Linked DNA regions of Astyanax mexicanus. The protein of the gene in region 2 interacts with the protein of the main gene of each other region in a biochemical or structural test. Links are inferred from orthologs where the notes say so. Each region holds a gene or a part of one and is shown on either strand. Other genes may lie near its edges.

The links.
Region 1: the proteins of setd1a (region 2) and wdr82 form a complex in vitro, tested with the Homo sapiens proteins (2 studies listed by BioGRID). The link is inferred for Astyanax mexicanus from reciprocal best matches to the Homo sapiens genes SETD1A and WDR82.

Annotation. Positions count from the first base shown.
Region 1 is NC_064412.1:15,875,249-15,885,952, forward strand, and holds the start of wdr82 (WD repeat-containing protein 82), read right to left. Parts: upstream 4,307-10,704; 5' UTR 4,059-4,306; coding exon 3,898-4,058; intron 2,228-3,897; coding exon 2,130-2,227; intron 1,594-2,129; coding exon 1,527-1,593; intron 899-1,526; coding exon 799-898; intron 675-798; coding exon 558-674; intron 248-557; coding exon 92-247; intron 1-91. Other genes in the region: heat shock protein beta-7, read left to right, coding at 5,802-5,822, 6,034-6,150, 6,664-6,802, 6,893-6,900; cplane2 (ciliogenesis and planar polarity effector 2), read right to left, coding at 8,117-8,354, 8,869-9,005, 9,475-9,599, 9,801-9,953. UniProt on the Homo sapiens protein: Regulatory component of the SET1/COMPASS complex implicated in the tethering of this complex to transcriptional start sites of active genes.
Region 2 is NC_064426.1:19,729,198-19,740,176, forward strand, and holds the start of setd1a (histone-lysine N-methyltransferase SETD1A), read right to left. Parts: upstream 4,155-10,979; 5' UTR 3,935-4,154; intron 2,553-3,934; 5' UTR 2,546-2,552; coding exon 2,408-2,545; intron 1,609-2,407; coding exon 1,510-1,608; intron 537-1,509; coding exon 266-536; intron 1-265. UniProt on the Homo sapiens protein: Histone methyltransferase that catalyzes methyl group transfer from S-adenosyl-L-methionine to the epsilon-amino group of 'Lys-4' of histone H3 (H3K4) via a non-processive mechanism.

The DNA of each region.
Region 1 (10,704 bases), on a different chromosome or scaffold from region 2:
CTCATTGAGAAAATAACGCACTTCTGAAAGCAGTAATTTAATGGATTAGGTTGGGTCAGTTGAGGCAGAAGCTAAAGTCTGCGGTACGCACCCCAAATGAATGTAGTATAGCTCCTTTGAATGCATCAAGCAGTCTGAGTGTTCCTCCATTGCTGGAGACCAGGATGAGTTTGCCATCATTGCTGAACTTCAGGCCAGTCCACTCACATGTGCGCTCATACTGCAACTTAAACGTAGCAAAAGGTCCCTAAAGAGGAGGAAAAAAGAAAAACATATATTCTATATCCCATAAACATACAAATTTATCAACAAATGCAAAATGAACAAAACACTGAAACTTAAAGAGCAGTTAATTTTCTAATGAGCTGCTTGTTTAAACATTCTTAAAATCTCTTATCTTAAATAAATTTTACTGTCAACACACTTTGTTTTACATTACAATAAATAATTTTGAGATAATCTGCTTGAATAAAAAAGTATATATATATATATATATATATATATATATATATATATATATATATATATATATATATATATATATATATATTTCTTACTTTGTCAAAGGAACGTAGGTCATAGAGTTTGACCATCTCAGAATTGACTCCAGCAGCAAAGATCAGGCCCTCAGGATCAAAAGAGCACACTGGCTTCCCCTGAAGGTGCATCAGTCCCTGTGACCACACAGAGGATTTTGAACAGTTTTAATAGAACATACAATAGAAAACAATCACCTATTTTTGCCTAAAAAAAACAAAAACAAACAAAACATTTAAAAAAAAATGGTATGAGGCTTACCTGACAGTTTGGGGAGCGAAGATCCCATAGCCGAATCGTTTTATCCAAGGAGCCAGAGATAAACGTGTCATCAACAGGGGACATAGAGAGTGCAACAACTCTGTAAAATTACAATGCACATATATAAATAAATTTTAATCCGTTCTTCAAGGCATTCTAAAACAAAAAACTTTAATTACTGGATTGTTTTACATGCATACTCTAAAAGGTCTTGAATAAATACACTTTCTATTACTCTACAATCCTTATATGCTCATCCACACTCCACTAAACTCAGTAATTAATAAATTTCCACAGCTATCTAAATCAACTTGAGTTTTCAATATATGCACAGCTTACAAATACTAATTATTGAATAAATGAGAAGAAATCTGTGTCTCTGCATACATTTGGCATACTTTACTTTGTGTTGTACAAAATAATAATAACTGCTGGAGAATATTAAACCCAAACAAGTAAAATGATTAAGAAGAGTGGAGGGAACATCATAAGACTCAAAGGAATTTCTAATGTTCAGACTGACATTTAGCTCACAGTTCATACATATAAAGGCCTTATTCTACAAGTTTTGGAAAGCAGAGAAATGGAACAGAATATGGCAGAATAAGAGCAGATTTTGTACTAAACATTGTGTCTGCACGCTACGCTACAATATTTTCCATTCCCCTTTAAGCAGAACAGTCCATTGACAAAAAAAGCAGCCTTAGCTCAGTATTGATGATCCTCACCTCTTATTGTGTCCGGGAAAGTAACGAATATACTTATTGTCGTGTAGAGACAGGTACCGTATAGTGTCTGTAATCAAGTAAAAGTGAAAAAAGTCAGAAACAGCTGCAAGTTTTTAATACTGTTACAGAGACTGCACATTCTTATAAAATTCAAAAACAGACGACATTAAGCTCTATTACGACCTCTGGCTGTGAAACTGAAAAAGCTAAGTGTGATCCACTATAGCAGTTCTGAAACTCCAGGTTGACTTTTAGATGAGTTGGCACCACCCTGGGCAAGGCAGTAGTCTGTACAGTTAGCTCCTTGAAAGGGCAGAATCACAGACCCTCAAACTGTACAAACAACTACCTCAAGCCAGAGAGGGCACAGTCAGGGAGCCCCGAACAATCGGTCAGTACAAGGACGACAGCGAGCTTGATTATACTTACCCTTTATACTCTTAACTGGGAAAAAACAAACAATACAATCACAAACAGGGGAAAGAGCACTAAACATATTGCGGGGGGAGCATTACTAACCAGAGGATTATCAATATGACAAGCAGAAAGTCACACTGAACAACAACACAACACACAAGTTCTTAAATGAATAAAACAACATACCATCAATTTTGTTGGAGCTGTAGACGACTGTATTGGCAGCATGTGTGTATCTGATGAGGTCCACTCCATACTTTTTACTGTACAGTGTCCGTTTAGGCCTGGATTTAAAGTTTGGGAAGAAAATATTCTGTTTAGGGGAATGACACAAACTACTGACTTTCCACTAAAAGTTAAATGTTTATATTAATTAAATCTACCCTGTTACAAAGTTATATTTTTTGTGATAAATTTTGCACATTTTGTCCTTGATTTTTCACAATACTGTTACTTGCACTTCTGAAAGATGCTAACTATGAGCAATGAGAAAGTTGAATATACCCATAACTGAAAGAACACAAGACTAGAGCTGGACATTGCATTACGTTGCATTACAAACAGCATAAGCAGTGTCAGATTCTTAAATATTGCTATACACGCTCAAGCATAGCCAAGTCGTTTTTGTCGTTCATTTTTTGTAGCACTTCATCTAGTTAATAGGAGTTAATTATGCTTCTTGTTATGACAGTGTTCTGTAAACAGTTAGTATCCTCGATATGCTTGAAAAAAAAAAGCATATTGTTATATTAGGGGTGTGCTATATTGTATAGTACACAATAGAATTTGGTCTTGAAAGCAGACTATTATTTATTTTGTCACTATTCTTTGTAGAATAATATTCTGCACCATTTATTTTGTCACTTTATTATCTTTTTAGAAAATCAAAGTTCTGGTAAGACATTTTTTTTTTACAAAAGAGACAAACAGTTGTAGATTTTTTGTTTGTGCTGACTGTTTAAAACCCTGATACAATAAAAATTAAACTTTTGACATTTGTGTCAAAATTATACTTCTTAGATTAATAAAATTTGTGTTCTTTATAGACAAGAATATTGTTGTCGTAAATATATTGTCATATTTTAGGGCCACATTGCTCACTCCTATTCCTTATCAATATGATCAAATATTGTCATTAAGGGTGTGTCATATCGTATCATATGCAATAATATGGACAACATTTTTGAATATCGTGAACAATAATGTACCCTTATATATCATGCCATATCACCCACCCCTAATTATCACATCAGGGTACTACATTTTTGCTGTTTTTAGCAAAAGAAAAATTCACACTGTTCTCATTTTCCCATTATATATCTACTTCAATATAATTCATTTTACTTCAGTCCTGGATATATGGAGCTATTTGGAGTGCATTATTAGTATCATGACATTCTGATAGATCTGATAAAACTCTTATATTTTTAATATTTCAGTTAGGGGTGTGTAATATCAAATTGTATGCATTAATACAATTGAAATTTTCATAAAAACATTTATTTATTCCGTGTTTTGTCATATCACTATCGCGAAAATACCATGAAACACCGTGATAATATTTTAGGGCCATATCGCCCACCTTTAGTGTTGGGCGCTAAGGCGGGTAAACAGAGCCGGAGAAGCGTGGATCTCAGCTAGCTTAGCTACACCCTGCAATCCCTCAACATTAGCCAGCTAGCTAACTCTTTACCTAGCTACTTAGCTTAGCCACTTAGCAAAATATCACACAGCTGTGATGAACCCGAGGGCTTTTATAAACAGATACACGCCCCGTCAACATTTAATCACTCCAGGCTTCCAATAGCACCAGATTTTCTTTCTGTTAGCAGGAACTCGTGGTCCGTCTAGCTAATCTACTCGAGGCCGAGGCTTTGTGCGGCAGTAGGCCTCACAGACCCACACTGCGGAAATCCGCGCACCGGGACGGGCTTCACACAGACCGCTCACTTACTTTCCCTCCTGGCAGTCGTACAGTACAATCGAGTCGTCGTCGCTGCTCGAGATCACCGTCTCTCCGTTCGAGCTGAAGTCGAAACAGTTGATTTTGTCGGAATTCTCCCGGAACACCTTCGCGACCCTGAAGCTCCGCAGAACATTGTCAGTGAGCTTCATGCTGGCGGCCTTGCTTTATGCCTGGCCAGGCGCAGGCTGCTCTCAGATTGCGGTCAGGGAGGACGGCTGTGTTCGGGGAGCGGTGGAGAAAGTGTTAGAGGGCTCTGTGTGGGTCTGTGAGGCTTGTGAATGGAAGCGGGTTGAGTTACGGGTTTCTGGCAGGTAAAGAAAAGCCCGCCCTGGCAGCGCTGCGGTGAACTCGGTAACGGAAGGTGTTTCCTACGGGTGGTGAAGTTGGAAGTCACTCCTTCTGCAAAATGGCCGATACGCTCACAGTAGTGGCATTTCATAATAAAAGTCCTGCTACTGGAAAAAAAATATATACTGAGCTTCTAAAACCAGTTCTTTAGTGGACCTAGAGAGGGCGCCGATTGGTCAAAAGAATGATAAATAAATAGTTACAAAACTTTTTTTTTATTTTAATTATCTAATATTATAAATTTATTACAATAAAATTTTATAATGAAGCTTTTTTATTTTTTTAACGTTAAAAAAAATCTAAATTAATGTCACGTCATTTGTTAACCGTACTTGCCTTCAAGAAGTGTCGGAAATATCGTATATCACATGAACTCCACCACAAACTCGTATTTACCAGTGAGAAACTCGGGTTTTTAGATAAGCCCCGAGTTTCCCCAGTTGGGAGCGTGTCAGTAACAAGTGGTCAATAAATTAAGTAAACTGATTTAAATTGATAAATAAATTCAATAAATTGATGCAGACACTTCGTATTGTAAACTGCTTAACACTCGAATACTTTGCAGGTTGTTATTAGCTAACCAATAAAATCACCAGCAGTATGTGAAAAAAACGTAAAGGGATTAAACCCAGTTAAAGACTATATTTTCCTTTTAATTGTAAATCTCAATTCCAGATGGTGTGTAATCCAAAACTAGATTTTATATCTGTCTAGGAAACTGCCCCCGTTTTTTTTTTTTTTGTCTCTGCCTTTATATTTAAAGGGATCTGCAAAATCATGTTGTGGGATGAAATGCTCATCAGAATATCCTAGCAGAATTGTACATAATGCATAAATAATTCCAGTCTGTGTCTGAAAGAAGTCCAACAACCTGCTTAATTAGAGTGGATGTGATGACCATTATAGACCATCATTAATAATGCTCGAGGTGAGAGAAGACCTAGAATGTCACATCGGTTCTTCAGCTAATACACAACTCTATTTCTGTAGGGTTGCTCAGCTGGGGACTATTTCACAAAGCAGGGATTCTTAGTAAGCCAGATAAACTAAGCCCTGAGTCAAGCCTGCCTAATGGCAGAAGAGCTGGAGAACATTTTCTACTGCATGTTATTCCACTATCTGAGTTAGCTTTGCAGAATACCCCTGAACACTTTTCACCAATATTTGTAATTGGAAGTTTCACACCTTGTATCCTCTGATTGTGAGTCATATAAATTGGAACATTATTAGTTGTACAAGCTGATCTCTCCAGTGTGTGATAAATACTGCACACAGACATCATAACCTCACTCTTATTCACAGCTATGAGGCTCCTAGCACTCACAGCAGCCTACAATAAAAGGGACTTTAAAGCCCTGAGGGAACTCAGTGCAATGCTCTAGGAGCTTGTGATGGGTTTTTTGTTTTTGAGTCAAAGCTTTTGTTTTTGTGTGTAAGGCACTAATGCGTCACTAGGCTGAATTTTACAGTACTTTTTTTTTTTTTTACCGTTTTAGGAATAGAAAAGCCTATCTGTTTTCCAACTACTTAAGAAAAATATCAGAATGTCAGAAGATTATCTAAAGGTGAGTTTTTTCATCTATGCTTGCTTATTGCTATATAGATCAGAGCTTGCTTGTACAGTCAACTTTTAACACTGGAAATACGATAAAAGAATGCAGCCACAAATTAAGTAGGCTAAGACAGCCAATAAACCTGTGTATTTACAGCAACAGGTGTTTTCTGTTATTGCATGCACTTAAGTAGCAGAGCTATGTTCATATCTGTTTTCTAAAGGAGGAAATGTGCACTCTTGGAGACACATACATGTTCACAGTGGACGTGAGTGCATTCTCGCCAGAACAAGTCATTGTTACCTCATCACAAAACATCATTCAGGTTTCTGCTGAAAAGGTAAGCAAAAGCATAGAGTAATCTAACACGTATTCTGTGTGATTCCATACCAAGAAAGATCAAGGATATTATTGTGAAACCCTTTGGAAATACATTTAAAAGTTCTTTATTTTGTTGCACTTGATAGAAGTCCTTCAATGAGAATGGGGTAGGATGCTGACACTAATTTGTAACATTAATATGTTGCTTATGTTTGAGTTATACTAAGTAAATAATATTTGCTATATAAATAATAAGCTTTGTAGTGCACAAATGGTGACTTTATTGCAAGTAATCGTGGAATTAAAACATTCCAAAACTACCATGTCACCACTTTTTACCATGAAAAACTATTTAGTAAAATATTTTATTTCATTAATTTACTGCTTAAAGAAGACATTAAGTGTTTAAAAAACTATAGATCAGAAGTATATATACAGTTTACTATACAACTTGAACATGAACCTATTAGTTAAATACATTTAGAAGACATACATTTTTGTCTCATTGTAATATTCTGCTTTTATTTCTCAGCTGGCATCAGATGGTACCGTCATAGACACATTTTTCCACAAATGGCAGTTTCCTCCAGATGCAGACCCCATGTCAGTGAGCTCATCCTTGGGGCAGGGTGGTGCACTTACAGTTACAGCTTTTAAACACAAGACAAAAGGTAAGAAAACATATTTTTGTCAATTTAAATTTTAATGCATGGATTTCTACCCTTGCAGAATATTTTTTTTCTTTCTCTATATGATTGCAGTTAAGTGATCCATACACCTTTATGATGGCCTTGACTGAAGACTGAAGAAAGGCACTTCAAATTATTCCAATAAATAATATAAACATTTTGAGATGCTTTATTTTAAATGCAACAACAATCAGTACATTAAAAAAGTGTGGTGACCAATGTTTGAACTACTTTAAGACAACTTTCTTATTGCTGTTGATGTAAAAATAGACTGTGCACATTGATGTATTAAAGATTCCCATAATCGATGGCAGAATGGGTTATGAAAGACTATATTGGTAACTATTGGTAAGTGTAAATGTAAAATCCAAATATGTAAATCTTTTGAAATAATAGTTTTTGTGATGTCACAAAGACAGTCACAAAAATACATATAGTATCTGTCAAAAGTTTCTCATTCAATGTTTTATTTTTTCCCCTACATTGTAAATACATACTGAAGTCATCCAGACTATTATGGATCACATAAGGAATCATGTATTAACTTAAAAGTGTTAAACAAAGCCTTTAGGTGGGATTCTGTTAACTTCTGAGGCTGGTAACTCTGATGAACTTATCCTGTGCAACAGAGGTAACTCTTGGTTTTCATTTCCTAGGGCAGTCCTGATGAGAGCCTCTTTTATCATAACATTTTTGATTTTTGATTTGTTTAACTTTTTTGTTTACTAAATAGTTACATATGTTCATCTTCATTGTTTGGATGATTTAAGTATTAATCTACAATGCAGAAAATTAAAAAAATGGAAAAAAACGCCACTGAATTTAAGGTTTGACTGTTATTGTATATTCACCTTTATATTTATATAGTTATATTTAACTGAAAGAAGTTTTACTCCACCCATAAGCACAGTAACAAAAATATTGTTGAAAAATGTACAAGAAATGTATACAATCATTTTTGTTTGGTAGAATATATGTCTTTTACCCCTAATTTAACAATGAATAAAGCACAATATCCAACTACACTAGCGTGACATCAGTGACTCGAACCTGAAAATCAGTAATGGTTATTCAGAAGTTGCACTTATAAACATTTACAAGCTAAACCTAGTTGTGGACAATATTTTGCTTCAAATTGAAAATCCCCGTAGTCAGTGTAGTCGACTAGGCTTGATCCCGGTCTGAGGAAACTGTCCCTTAGGGGTGTATCTTTACACTGTGTAAAGTTCTTTCTCCAGGTCCTTCAGCTTGTGATTTGAGATCTTGCACTGTGCTCTGTGATGTTAAACTGCACAGCTACACAATAACCTCTCGGTTCGTATCTTCTGGATGAGGCTGTGGGGGTAGAGAGGCAGATGAGGCGTGAATGCAGTCCTGATGCCACAGGTTTTCTGCTAAGGCATTTAGCAGGGGTGCAATCTCACCAAACCCTTCACTCACATCACCTCCCACCCGGAAGACTGGCACACGAGACACCTCCTGAAAGCGTTTGATCTCACTCTCTGTCACATCTGTGTGCATAAACAAGTCAAATCTGTTCAATCTGAGTTAAGGGCAATGCTTTTTTTTGAAGGTCAGATTCTTTTGGTCAGAGCTTCTTTCTTCCTTAGTTTTTGTACAGAAATTACTCAAGCAAACAAACATCAGCATAAGATGGAGGAAAAAAATATCTAGACTGATGGGTGTGAACAGAAACACACACTGTCAGTTCTCACAATATGATTGTTGTATTATTGCAATATGTTGCTCACAATAGCAAGGATATCAGAATACTGTGACTCAGCGATACTCGATATATATCGCAAGTCAATTCTCTATGACATTTTACATAATCTGTGCTACAGAACAGAATAAAATACTCCTAAATAATACTACTAATTAATGGTAAATAAAATGAATAAATTAATACAAATATTAATATTTTGCCACAAATCAGTGTATTGCAATATCAATCTTTTGTCCCACACTTACTCAGTCAGTACATACACTGAAATCGTTCAAACGTAAATCGTTAAAATGTCCACCTATCAGAAGTGATTGAAGGATACTTTGTACCAACCACCAGTCTGACAACCCTGTCCGAAGGATCTGTGAACCGAGACATCTGATTTGAGATGTCTTTAAAAGAGCCATGATCAGTGAAGGAGAAGAGGAAGAGTATGGCATCAACCTGTTCCTTGCAAGACTGTAGAAAAATTGTTGAAGAGCATTGTGGGCCTTAAAATATGCAAAACATGTCAAAGAGCAAGTATGTAAATCAGACTGTACTATTAAAGCTAGAAATAGAGAAACATGACAGCACTAATACAGAAAGAAGATAGAAAAGCGTTTTTTTGTCATGGTTTTTGATGGATGGAATTATATAAAACTTTGTACAACACACACTATTATTTTTATTATTTTGTACTTGTGGTGTGTTTTCTCATAGGGATGTATGAAGAATGTTTTTATAATTGTATACTAAAACAATACAGAAACCCTATTTGTTAAATAATTATAATTATATACAAAGTTATTCCATTTTAAAGGGTTACCAGATTCTTTGGCTGTTTAGAGGTAATAGAAAAACTTTAAAAACAGTTCTGTAAAGCCATTTCCAGTACTATATAGAAAATTTTTTACTGGATTAGATTTTACGCAAAATAGGCTTTTACCGTTAGCATATGGTCGAATCTACGCATCGCATTTTCACCACAATCCCAGAGCTGAAATTGAAAAAACAACACACGGCTGCTCTCTTTCAGCTTCACAGGCCAAAACACTATGGATGTCTCCATGCCTGTGGAGATCAGAGCAGAATTACTGTTACTGGAACCAAAGAAACTGCTGAAAATGTTGACTAAAAAGTGTCTTAATCTATAGTAATTTATTCAAGATATTTAGGGTCCGGCACTACAGCAGTAAATTCACTATAAACATGAACCTAGACTACCTGCAAATAATTATTTAAAGGTGTAGTGTCCAGTAGAATCATATTTACCTGTGGTTTCATAGTGCATGTTTGGAATTTGATGTCCAGCGAGTCGAGCAGCCAGTGCAGTCTTCCCCACACCACTCTTTCCTGAGATGAACACTTTGTAACGAACAGTGTCTGCTTTTAAATGAGGGGGCATCACTGGAGCCTCTAAGAGACCTAATATAAAATGTGACAATATGTTTTAGCCCTTCAAGATATTCACATTGAAAGATAACTAAACTTATCAGCCTTTGAGGGTCCTACATAAAGTTCTTCTGGTGGGGCCCTGTCGACCCCAATCATATTTTTAATAATTTAAAAATTAGTACATTATTTGTCTTTTTCTATTTGGAAAGTCATCAACAATATATTCATAAGATTTTTGTACCTAAAAAAAACAAAAACTGCACAGTCACATGCACACCCACTGTGGATTAGAGGGATTAAAGACCTGGTTGGCTCAGTGGTTAAAGAGCGCAGAGTTATTAAACAACACAAGACTGAGGGTTTAATGTCCAGGTTCTGCAAGCTGCCACTGTTGGAGCCTAGGGCTGGGCAACACATCATAAATATCAATATATTTGTATCTATTCAATATAATATATTTAAATGGCAATATTACAATATTGATCCTGTAATATAATCCCATCTATTTGTAATTTAATAAAAAAATACAGTCCATCTTATTTCATCATCTCAAACAACATGATCCAGTCAGTGAAATATACAGCTCTGGGAAAAAATTAAGAGACCACTTCAGTTTCTGAATCAGTTTCTCGGATTTTGCTATTTATAGGTTTATGTGTGAGTAAAATGAACATTGTTGTTTTATTCTATAAACTACGGACAACATTCTCCCAAATTCCAAATAAAAATATTGTAATTTAGTTCATATTCATAAAGTTTTAAGATTTCAGAGATCAATATT
Region 2 (10,979 bases):
CAGTAGGCTTCAGTTTAAAAACCAAAGAGAAAGCAGGAATTGAATCCCTAGACAAGGCTGCGTTCACAGGCTAATTCTTCCAACCTAAGCGAGCAGATTCACTGTGGACCTCTACGTCACCCTGTTATATCATGTATTAACAGTATGCAGTATGAAGTTTTCTGTTCTTCACACATATATTACAGCTTTTTCTGTGGTTATCACGAACAATCAAGCAGAGGCGATACCAAAAAAATGAGGTTTATCTTACAGCCTTAGTCTGTACCTTTGATGTCTAGCTGGGCATGGACAATGTTGCCCATAACAGAGGTGTTGTGCAGGTGTTTGACTGTGTCTTTGGCCCCTCTGGTGCTGGTGAAGAGTACACGGGCCAGGCCCAAGTGCTTCCGGGTCTTCGGGTGAAACAAGATCTCCATTTCTTCCACCTCCCCAAATTTGTTGCACATCTCTAACAAGAAAGGTTCCTTGATGTTATCGTTTAGCCGGGCAAACGTCACCTCCTTCAATGGAATAGGACCCACGTAGTACTCATCCAACTGTTGGAAAAGAAAAACACAGAGGAAAACTCCATTAGGAGGAGGTAAAACTGCAAGCAGAAGAGGTCTGCTCAAAGCTTCAGACTTATTACCCTCTACTAGAGCTCTGCACTGGACCGATTTTTTATCCTTATTTATTTACATCATGTCAATTACGCACAACATTAACTGAGTGAGTATTATCATAAAGTGCATATTTATTTGCAGAATTTCTCCACAATTATATTGTCCTGGAAGGTTATCCAACTGCTTCCACAAATTACATAAAAAATTAAGATCTGTGCTGCAAAATATTCGTAAAGGGACCACTTTACAGACCACTGAGTCAGACCAATACCTTTTACTACATTTTCACCCAAACCCAAATAAAAAAAAACAATCATTAAAATTAATGCCTTATGCTTCAATATTTCTCCTTTACCAATTGTAGTGTTGTTCTCAGTCCTTGAGAGTTTGGTCTTTGCTCAGATCGGCTTATCTTATTGTGGTTCCTACTGCTCACATTTCAAGATGCATCAGAAAGAGCTCTTAAACATACCTGAATATTTACCTCCAAGCTTTTGTTGCACATCTCCAACATTTGTCCATGACAGGAAAATCATGCCCACAATTATGTAGTGTGCATTCAGCATTAGCTATAGCAAACAATGCCCACCAAAAGGCCTGTTTTAACTCTCTGCTGACCAAAAAGCGATAACAGCCACCAGAGCCAAAAAGACTCAACCAGACCTCAGTCTGTTCAAAAGTTAAAATTTCCTGTCTCTAAAGATCCTTGCAGAAAACAGGCCTTCAGACTGAGACAATTACTTATGAAATGTTAAGAATTTGTTCAGGTGCACTCAAGCAAGAAGAGCAAAACAATTCAGCCAAAATATGTATAAAAATGTACTCTAGAGAAAACAAGAATTGATGTGGAACATTTTCACTCACAGGTTGCAAATATGAGAAAAAAAGACTGACATTAAAAACATACCTTAAATTTGGGCACGGGAAGCGACAGCTCCGTGTGCCTGGACCATATCCTTCGGGGCCGAGGGTCACGTAACTCCCCCACAGGTGGGAACCCTGCGTCCTAAGGGTTAGAAAATAATTTAATGAATATTAATCGCTTAATAAGGAATCATGTAGTTATAAGTATTCCAAAAATATAGCCTCAATTTTAACATAAGCAGTGCTAATAGTACAAACCAGATTTTGCTGTTATGTACAATATCAATATTTATTTAGTGCTAAAAACTGACAAACACATGCACTTAAAACTGCATGGCCTGAATAAGCATAACGGCATACAGACTACCTATTTGACTACCTATAAAATCTTGATATTAACTTAAGCGGAATTATGGGCTGAAGCAGATATCCAAAATTTGATATGCATGTCAGTGATGATTTACTAACATTTATAAAATGTTGAAATTGAGACTAAATTACCTTGGATTAGCATGACAAAGAAACAAAGCATTTATTTCTACTAGTTTATGTCCAACACTTATGATCCTGTTGATAAAGGCCTTCAGCTGCAGCATATAAATATTAAAACCAGGTGTACCACAGCTAAACTTAAGAGGGCAAGGCTGGTAGATCTCCAAGAATGAAGATTCCCAGTATTGTGTAAAAGCTAAAGGTATATCCGTCTTATTAAATCCAACACAAATGTCCAATAAATAAATTAAAATATTTTAATGCATGGTGAGTCACTTAACACATTTCAACTGAAAGCATTGAAACAGATGTTCACAAAATGACTCAGAGGCCTCAGAATTAGCTTGCTGACAAGTAATACATTACCCTTAAATGCCCTGATTTTAGTTATTTTCTTGCTGACTGCGGCGTCTACCATCACAAACCAACTATATAAAAAAAGCATATACCGGCACACTGAAGTGAATCCCATCGTATCTGTAGATCTTCTGAGCGACCCTGCGAATGGCAGGGTCCTGTACAAGTTTGTAGCTCTTCCATTGCAGACTGAGAGCTCGCTGGGTGTCCGCCCCACTATCTGGATCCATGCTATTACTGCAGAGAAAATAAGAATGGTGAATGAAATTCACAGGACACAACGGCAAAGGCACAAATGGCACAATGGTAGGGATGCACCGATGTGGGAAATCAGACTTATATACTATATATAAATTTGCTGAAGAGGATACACATTTTATTACTTACAGAGAGACTCAACACACTGGTATAACTTTAAAAAACTAAAAAAAAAAAAATACATAAATCAAATCATTTTAAAGAATCTCTGTCAGTGTGTGTCAATTTTATTAGCATGGCCAGCATCACTTAGACCTTTGCTGCCTTACAATAAATACAGAAAGTCAGCAAGTATCGGTTCGAAGTATTGGTCATATTAATATCACTGAATGCTGCTGATTCAAAAAACAGTATCAACCTATACTGACATAACTTCAATATTATCATGCATCCTTACAATATTTAGTTCAATCGGCATTACATAGGTTAGTCTGGTAAACAAACTTGGACATGATGGTTATGTTGGTCATCCAGCTTAAGCTTTCCAAACTCTCTTTTTTGTTCTTAGGGAAAGAATTAGAAATAGTCAACCTAAAGAGTAGGTCAGATGATGACCAAGGGCTGTATGCAATCCTTGCTCAAGCCCTCTCCTGATCATCTTCCCTATGCTATTGTCTCTTGTTGCTGTTGGAGATGAGTCTAAGAGGAGTTAATCAGGTTTTTGTTGTGATGCTGCACGCATAGTTGCACAGTTGCAACAATAGCAGCTAATCATATCCCTCATAAACTGAGTCCTGTTTTTAACAATATTTCAACACTACTTGAAAGAACAGCCGATTTTACATAGCTAACGACTTTTACCGGCAACCTGCACTCATATCCACATGGTTATAACAGTATAAACACTAAAACTGTGGGCTGCCTGCAGAGTAGATACCGCTAGGTTAGGAGAAACGCTATGAACTGTAGCTAATAACCCCAGATTTCAAACTAAACTCGTTTTACCCTCCGTCTCCGCGGCGAATTTATCCGAGCACTAAAACAGAGGCTCCCGTCTGCTAAAGTCTTTTATCCCTCTTTTAGAGCCTCCAACGCAGCTACGAGCGGTCACCTGCACTTAGCTAAAGCGCTAACAAGCTAAAAACGTCCGCCACAATGCCGCTAAACAAGATAGCTAGCATGCTAAGCTAATGTGCTAACTAGCCGCTCGGCAGGCCGCTACAGCGAACCAGACTCCCGGAGACCCGCGGAGCCAAAAAGCGGCGTATTTTCCACTCCGGGGCCGCGCTGCCCGGCCTCGAGAGGTGCTGCCCGCGTTCCGGTGCCGCTTCGAGACATTTTAAAGCGCCATATTCCACCTAAAAGCGCTGTTTTGAGGAAATAATCGGGGTTAAACACACAGCGGCCATCGCGCAACCAACCTGAGAGCCTCGCCTGTCCGCCATTCGTCACAAGAACAACATTCCTTTGATTCGGCTCAAGCACTTTCCGCACAGGATCTGCCTATCTTTGCCGGCTAGCGAACTTAATGAAAGCGCTAAATTATTAAAACATGAATCAAACGATCCGTGTTTTAATTTACAGTAAACAATACAACACGCTTCATCCTCTGACGCAGCTATATATTTTTTTCTATCTGACGAGCTAGCAATGTGTGTCTTAAATTGGCGAATCTGCCGTTTACTTGCTAAAGACGTCACTAGGGAGTCAGGCGGGAGGGTGAAGGTGAAGCCTCGGCCAAGTGCATCAAAACAAACAAAACAAAACAAAACAAATATATATAAACAAATTAAACAGCCATAAAACAAACAAACAAAATAAACATATGTAAAGAAAATATGCAAGTATAAACAAACAAACGACAGATATAAATGAACAAACAAAATAAACAGCCATTTAACAAACAAAATAAACAGCTACAAACAAACCAACAAAAATAAACAAACAGACAAAAAGCTGAAAACAAACAAACAACAATTATAACGTCATGTAAGCTAGATAATTTGTATATAAACTTAAAATGAATTATACACAATTAATTACAATTAATAAAAATTACAATTATATCATTAATATTTATTTTATCTAAATAAAAATGCAAACCAAACATGGAATAAGATTTTGGAGGAAACCAGGCACTGCTCATCACGAGGCCAATACCATCCCTACAGTCAAGCATGGTGGTGGCAGCATCATGCAATGCGATGTTTTTCAGCAGCAGGAACTGGCATACTAGTCAGGAAAGATGAATGCAGCAATGTACAGAGACATCCGGGATGAAAACCAGAACTCCAGAGCGCTCTTGACTGGGGTGGCAGTTCAATTTTCAGCAGGACAACGATCCGAAGCACACAGCCAAGATCTCAAAAGAGTGGCTTCAGGACCACTATATGAATGTCTTGGAGTGGCCCAGCCAGAGCCCAGACTTGAATCTGATTGAACATCTCTGGAGAGATCTGAAAATGGCTGTGCACAGATGTCTCCCATCCAACCTGATGGAGCTTCAGAGGTACTGCAAAGAAGAATGGGCAAAACTGCCTAAAGAGAGGTGTGCCAAGCTTGTGGCATCATATTCAAAAAGACTTGAGGCTGTATTTGCTGCCAAATGTGGTTCTAAAAAGTATTAAGCAAAGGCTGTGAATACTTATGTAAATATGATTTCTTTTTTTATTTTTTTATTTTAATACATTTCCAAAACTCTCAAGAAAACTTTTTTTCACATGGTCGTAATGGGGTATTTTGTGTAGAATTTTGAGGAAAGATTAATGTAATACAATTTGGAATAACGCTGTTACGTAATAAAAAGTGAAGCGCTGTGAATACTTTCCGGATATACTGTAACTCTTGCTCCTCTCTTGCTCTGGCACTTCTAATGAGAGCAAGTTTCATAAGGTTGTTGGTCTAGTTTTTGACATAATATGGATTATACCACTATAATACCACTGTATTCAATTTGTGTAATTTTTTTACTGGTACTGTATAGCTGACTGAAACAATAAAATATTAAAAGTAAAAATTAGCCACAGTAAATGCAATAATGTTAGGAGTCCTTTCATCTTTACATACTATGAAAACATACTCTTCAGAAGATGTATTAATATTAAATAAAACTGTAATGTTTTAACATTTAATGATCTGCCTCGATTTTTATTTATGGAGTGCTCAGCAAAGTAACTGTCTGAAAATAGAGAATTCAGAATATCTTTGTTAGTATTAGAATTTTACAGCAATGCTCCAACATCTAGTAGAAGCCATTTTTGGACAGTATTGACACTGTGTATACAGTATAAAAAGTATTTGCCTCCCTACAGATTTCTTTTGTTTTTGCTTTTTTGTGATACTTTCCTTCAGGATTGTCTAGTAAACAGCAGAATTCCTGGTTCCATCTATTACAGCAAGCTGTCCAGGTCAAAGCAGCAAAGCAGCCCCAGACCATCACACTACCACCACTATGCTTTATGTTCAGAATTATGTTTTTTGTGAAATTAATTGTAAGTTTTACCATGGTTACCATTTTTGACCAGTCACTTTTTTATTATTCCATCATTACCGCTGACGCTTTGTGACCTCCTAGATGAGTTGTCCATGCCCTTTTGGAATAATTTCGGTCAGCCGGCCACTCCTGAAGATTCACCAGAGATTCATATTTTCCCAGTTTGTGAATAATATCTCTCGTTGTGGTTCACTGGAGTCCCAAAACCTTAGAAATTACTTTACAACATTGTCCAGACTGATAAATGATCAATGACTTTGTTTTCTCATCTGTTTTGGAATTTCTTTAGATCACAGCATAATGTGTTGCTTTTAGCTTCATGTTGTCAGAAAGTAAGTTCTTGATTCTACAGGTCTGGTGGTAATCAGTCTTGGTTGTGGTTAGAGAAATTGAACTCAGCTTTACAAAAAGTGTGATTAATCAAGGTTAATTTATGACGGGCTTGTTCAGGGGCTAGATTTAGATTTTTTTTCCCCTTAATAAATTAAATCATAATTAAAAAAGTACTTTTTATATTTACTTAGGTTACTTGTCTGATATTAATGTAAGTATTACAAAAAAAAACAACAACAAAAACAAATCTGTAAATCTGTAATCTTCACACCACTGGCACAACATAAGAGTTCCAGATGCTGCTGCTGGCTCAAGGCCTGGTTGGATATAGGACAAGAAGATGTGCCAAATGTATGATCTCACTTACTGATGATATTTGGCGTTTATTTTTTTTTTTTGGCAACTAGTCTCATCTTTCACTGGTTATTTACTAGGATTTAATAAATACGTTAAGGCTTTGAGTAGAGACTTAGTTTGCAGACAGAAATAATCGTCTAAACAAACGAAATCATCTCTCCATTTAGAGAACTGGAGAGCATCTCAGACATCAGACACAAGCCATTTACGTCTTTATCTGGTTTAATCTTTCCAGGAACACTGTGGAGCAGGATTTATTGGCAACTTCCTTTGAGGATGAAGTGCATAATAAATCACAGTAGCACAGTAAGTCATAGTGAGGTTCTACAGTAACTCTATCTGCAGTACCAGAATATCCCATAACATGTGGTAATGTGTACTAATCAAAATATTTTATAATAAACCGGATTGTTTAGAACAGAGGAGCAAAAGTTTACCCCAGAACATTTAAGTAATATGCTGCTATTAAAACTGACCAGATGATATATTTCGTATTTTATTTACAATAGAACATTCAACTCATTTCAAACATGATGGTATAAACAAAAAGTGTTAAACCAACCAGAATATGTTTTGTATTTTAGAGTCTTTAAAGTAGCATCTCTTACCTAGATGACAGCTTTGTACATCTTGGCTGGATTTTCTTGTGCTGTGGTAGTAGTATTGGTATACAGATATACAACAGTATACAGCTGTGGTAGAGTTGGTATACAGTGAATAGCCCTATTTTAGTAACGTTCTAATCGATATTATGGCACTTTCACATTAAATAATAACGATTACCAAAACTACTAAATGGAAATAGCTTAATAACTGGCTAAATTATCCAATAAAGGAGACTTTTCAGTGTAGTGCATTAAACAGCACGCCGTGTCATTGCAGAGGGTTAAGTTAGTGCCTCCATCTAGTGTTTTATTGTGGAACTACAACAATCAACAACAAAAATAAACAAAGTAGCTCAATACACCTGTTTTCTTTATAAGTTTTTAATTCATGCCCTTCCAATCTTACACGGAAAACGGAAAAAAAGAATCTTTATTTTACTCTCTATTTTGTTTTTGCATCTTGTAATAAGAAAATGTAGTTATTTAACTATTAGATTGGAGAGAAAGACAGGATATTATTATTATTTTCTTTTTCATTTTATCAGGGGAAAAAATAAAAACTTGAAAACCTGAATGAAATTCCATTTCTTTTTCACTATACCAAAGAGGGGAAAAATGGAACTGTAATTCATTTCACCAGCTCAGTGGTGTTAATGTTATGGCTGATCTCATTAAATGTAACACAAGTAGATTTACAACCTATATATTTTATACATAGTGTTCTATTAGGGTCATACACTGAAAAGTTGCATCACTTGTATATAAGTATATAACACTTTAGAAAAAAATTAGGAGACTTCATACTTCAGTTTCTGAATCAGTTTCTCTGATTTTGCTATTTATAGGTATATGTTTGAGTAAAATTAACATTGTTGTTTTATTCTATAAACTACGACCAACATTTCTCCCAAATTCCAAAAAAAAATATTGTCTTTTAGAGCATTTATTTGCAGAAAATGAGAAATGCCTGAAATAACAAAAACATGCAGAGCTTTCAGGCCTCAAATAATGCAAAGAAAGCAAGTTTATATTCATACAGATTTAAGAGTTCGGAAATTAATATTTGGTGGAATAACCCTGGTTTTAATCATTATGCATGGCATGTTCTCCACTAGTCTTTCATACTGCTTTTGGATAACTTTATGCCACTCCTGGTGCAAAAATTCAATCTTTTTTTTTTCAGAGCTGTGTTTGTCATTTAATTCATTTTTACTTCTCGGCTTACACAGTGATGTACAAAAGTAGTAGGAAGACAACTGAGATTTATCCTCAGTCTTCAAGAAGTGCCCAACCATTGAAGATTTGCACAGTGTTTATGATCATTTGAGTATGTCTAGAACTGCAGATCACTCTTAAAAATTACTCAGAATGTTAAAGTGACATTATACCTCTTTTTACACAAGTTAGAATAGGTCTATAGAAAATACAAAACATTTTCATTGAGTTATTTGAACAAAATCACTCTTACATAAAAACATCTCACCAGATTTGTTCTTGCCAGTTTCAGTCCCTTTCAGAATGAACTGTTTAAGGGCTCTGTTACTTTTATGCAAATAAGCTGTTGCTGGCAGCCCCATGTTTATGCTAAGTGTTTACCACATGTTAATGTTAGCTTGTGCTAACATTAGCTCAGCTGTATTATTAGTGAGGAGACAGGCCGCTGTCTCTTGACGCGAATCACGGAGCCAGTTCAAGGATAAAGTTACGCCTTTCAGGAGAAAAAGCCAATCAGCTTGCTGGTTTTGCGGAGCGTGGTGGGCTAGTAGGGAAGCCCCCACCCCAGCAACCCCACCGCCTCGCTGGGGAGGATTTTTGAGGGTTTTTGAGTTCTTGCACCAGGTTTCAGCGCTGATTAGAGGTGTCACGATTTCGATATTTCATCAAAATCGATCGAAATTATGTCATGGTCTCGAGCCTCGAAGTCAAAAAGAGGATCGACGATCCCTCCCTCTAAGCTACTCAAGCACGCGCATGCGCTACGCAAATGGTGCAGCATGCTACGCAAATGGCTCAGCACACTGTAGCCGACGCCACGGACATTGTGACTGCTCAAAGAGCAGCTCTTTCTCCAGAGAATGTGGACATTCTCATCTTCTTGAAGAAAAAATTTGAAAATATAAAAATAACAGTTGTTTTGTCTATCCTCAAAAATGTTAATAGTTTTGGTACCTTAAGGAGCATCTTTCTCTCAGATAAAGTTAATAATAATATATCTTTGTCAAAGAAAAGAACTTGTCATTCTCAGGCACCAAAAAAGTCTTAAAGTCTTATTTTTCATGTTTAACTGTTATAGTAGGATAGAGTTCAGTTTGTTAAGGCTCTAAAATCAATTTTTTTACATGACTGTTCCTGTATTTTTTTATTATTTATTTTATGTTGCACTACGGTGGCCGAGAAAGCCCAACGCAGTGCAAATTGAAAAGCGCTGCAAAAGCACAAAACACATCCATCAAAATTACAACACAGAAAAACGCGCTGCAACTAGAACCACAACACAACGGAAGTGAGTCACAACACAACGGAATTTTCCCGGGGGACCTTAAAAGATGCTGTACCAGCTAAGCTGCGTCTTCAGTAACGTCTGGGACTTCACTATGTGTACAAAGGACAATAAGTGGCAAACAAGGCGTTTTGTGAAGCAGAACTTTTAATAATATGCACACAACCGTGGTAATCACAGGTAATAAACATAACTTACTTTCAGAAGCTTGTTTGCCACATATTGTCCTTTGTATACAGCTGGTACAGCATCTTTTAAGGTCCCCCCGGGAAAATTCCGTTGTGTTGTGACTCACTTCCGTTGTGTTGTGGTTGTATTTGCAGCGCGTTTTTCTTTTTGCAGCGCGTTTTTCTATTTGCTGCGCCTGTGTTGTAATTTTGATGGATGTGTTTTGTGCTTTTGCAGCGCTTTTCAATTTGCACTGCGCTGGGCTTTCTCGGCCACCGTATTGCACAATGCTGCTACCAAAAAAGCCACTAGATGGCACTACATATATATCTTAATTAAATTTGACCATTAGTGCCTAATGTGGTGTATTACAGATCACTTGTATCACTTTGCATCACTTATATCAAGCCCACCTTTTGAAATAAGATATTGTAAATTTGATTAATCAAACCAATGACTGACCATAGACTAATCTAAAACTGGCATAGGCCTCTCTGCTGTAAAAAAAGAAAAGAAAAACGAGAATCAAATCGAATTGTGACCCTAAAATCGGAAATAAAATCGAATCGAGGATTTAGAGAATCGTGACCCCTAGCGTTGATGTTAAAACATATCTGGATATACAGCGATTTTTCCAAAAGAAAGGTAACTGAACTAACCATGTAAACTGTGATGTTTCTGATAGCTGGTTAAAAAGACTTGTCTCTGAATCAAAAGACACAGATCAAGGTCTTAGAAAATAAAACTAAATATGTTTAACTTGCCCTGATGTACCTGATCAGCCAATAACTATTTCATTTTCAAATTGTTTTCATTAATTTAGGATTGCAGGATTATTGTAAGCTATAATTAACGAAAATGTATTTAGCTAACCAGTTAGGATAGCCAGAATGTAGTACTATACTTAGTTTAAATGAGTTTCTTAACCCTGATCTCTGCCCTAAAATTGTAAGTTTTCCACCGGATCCAACTGATCAGCTAATAAACTAATATAGTTAACTGGGCTGAGC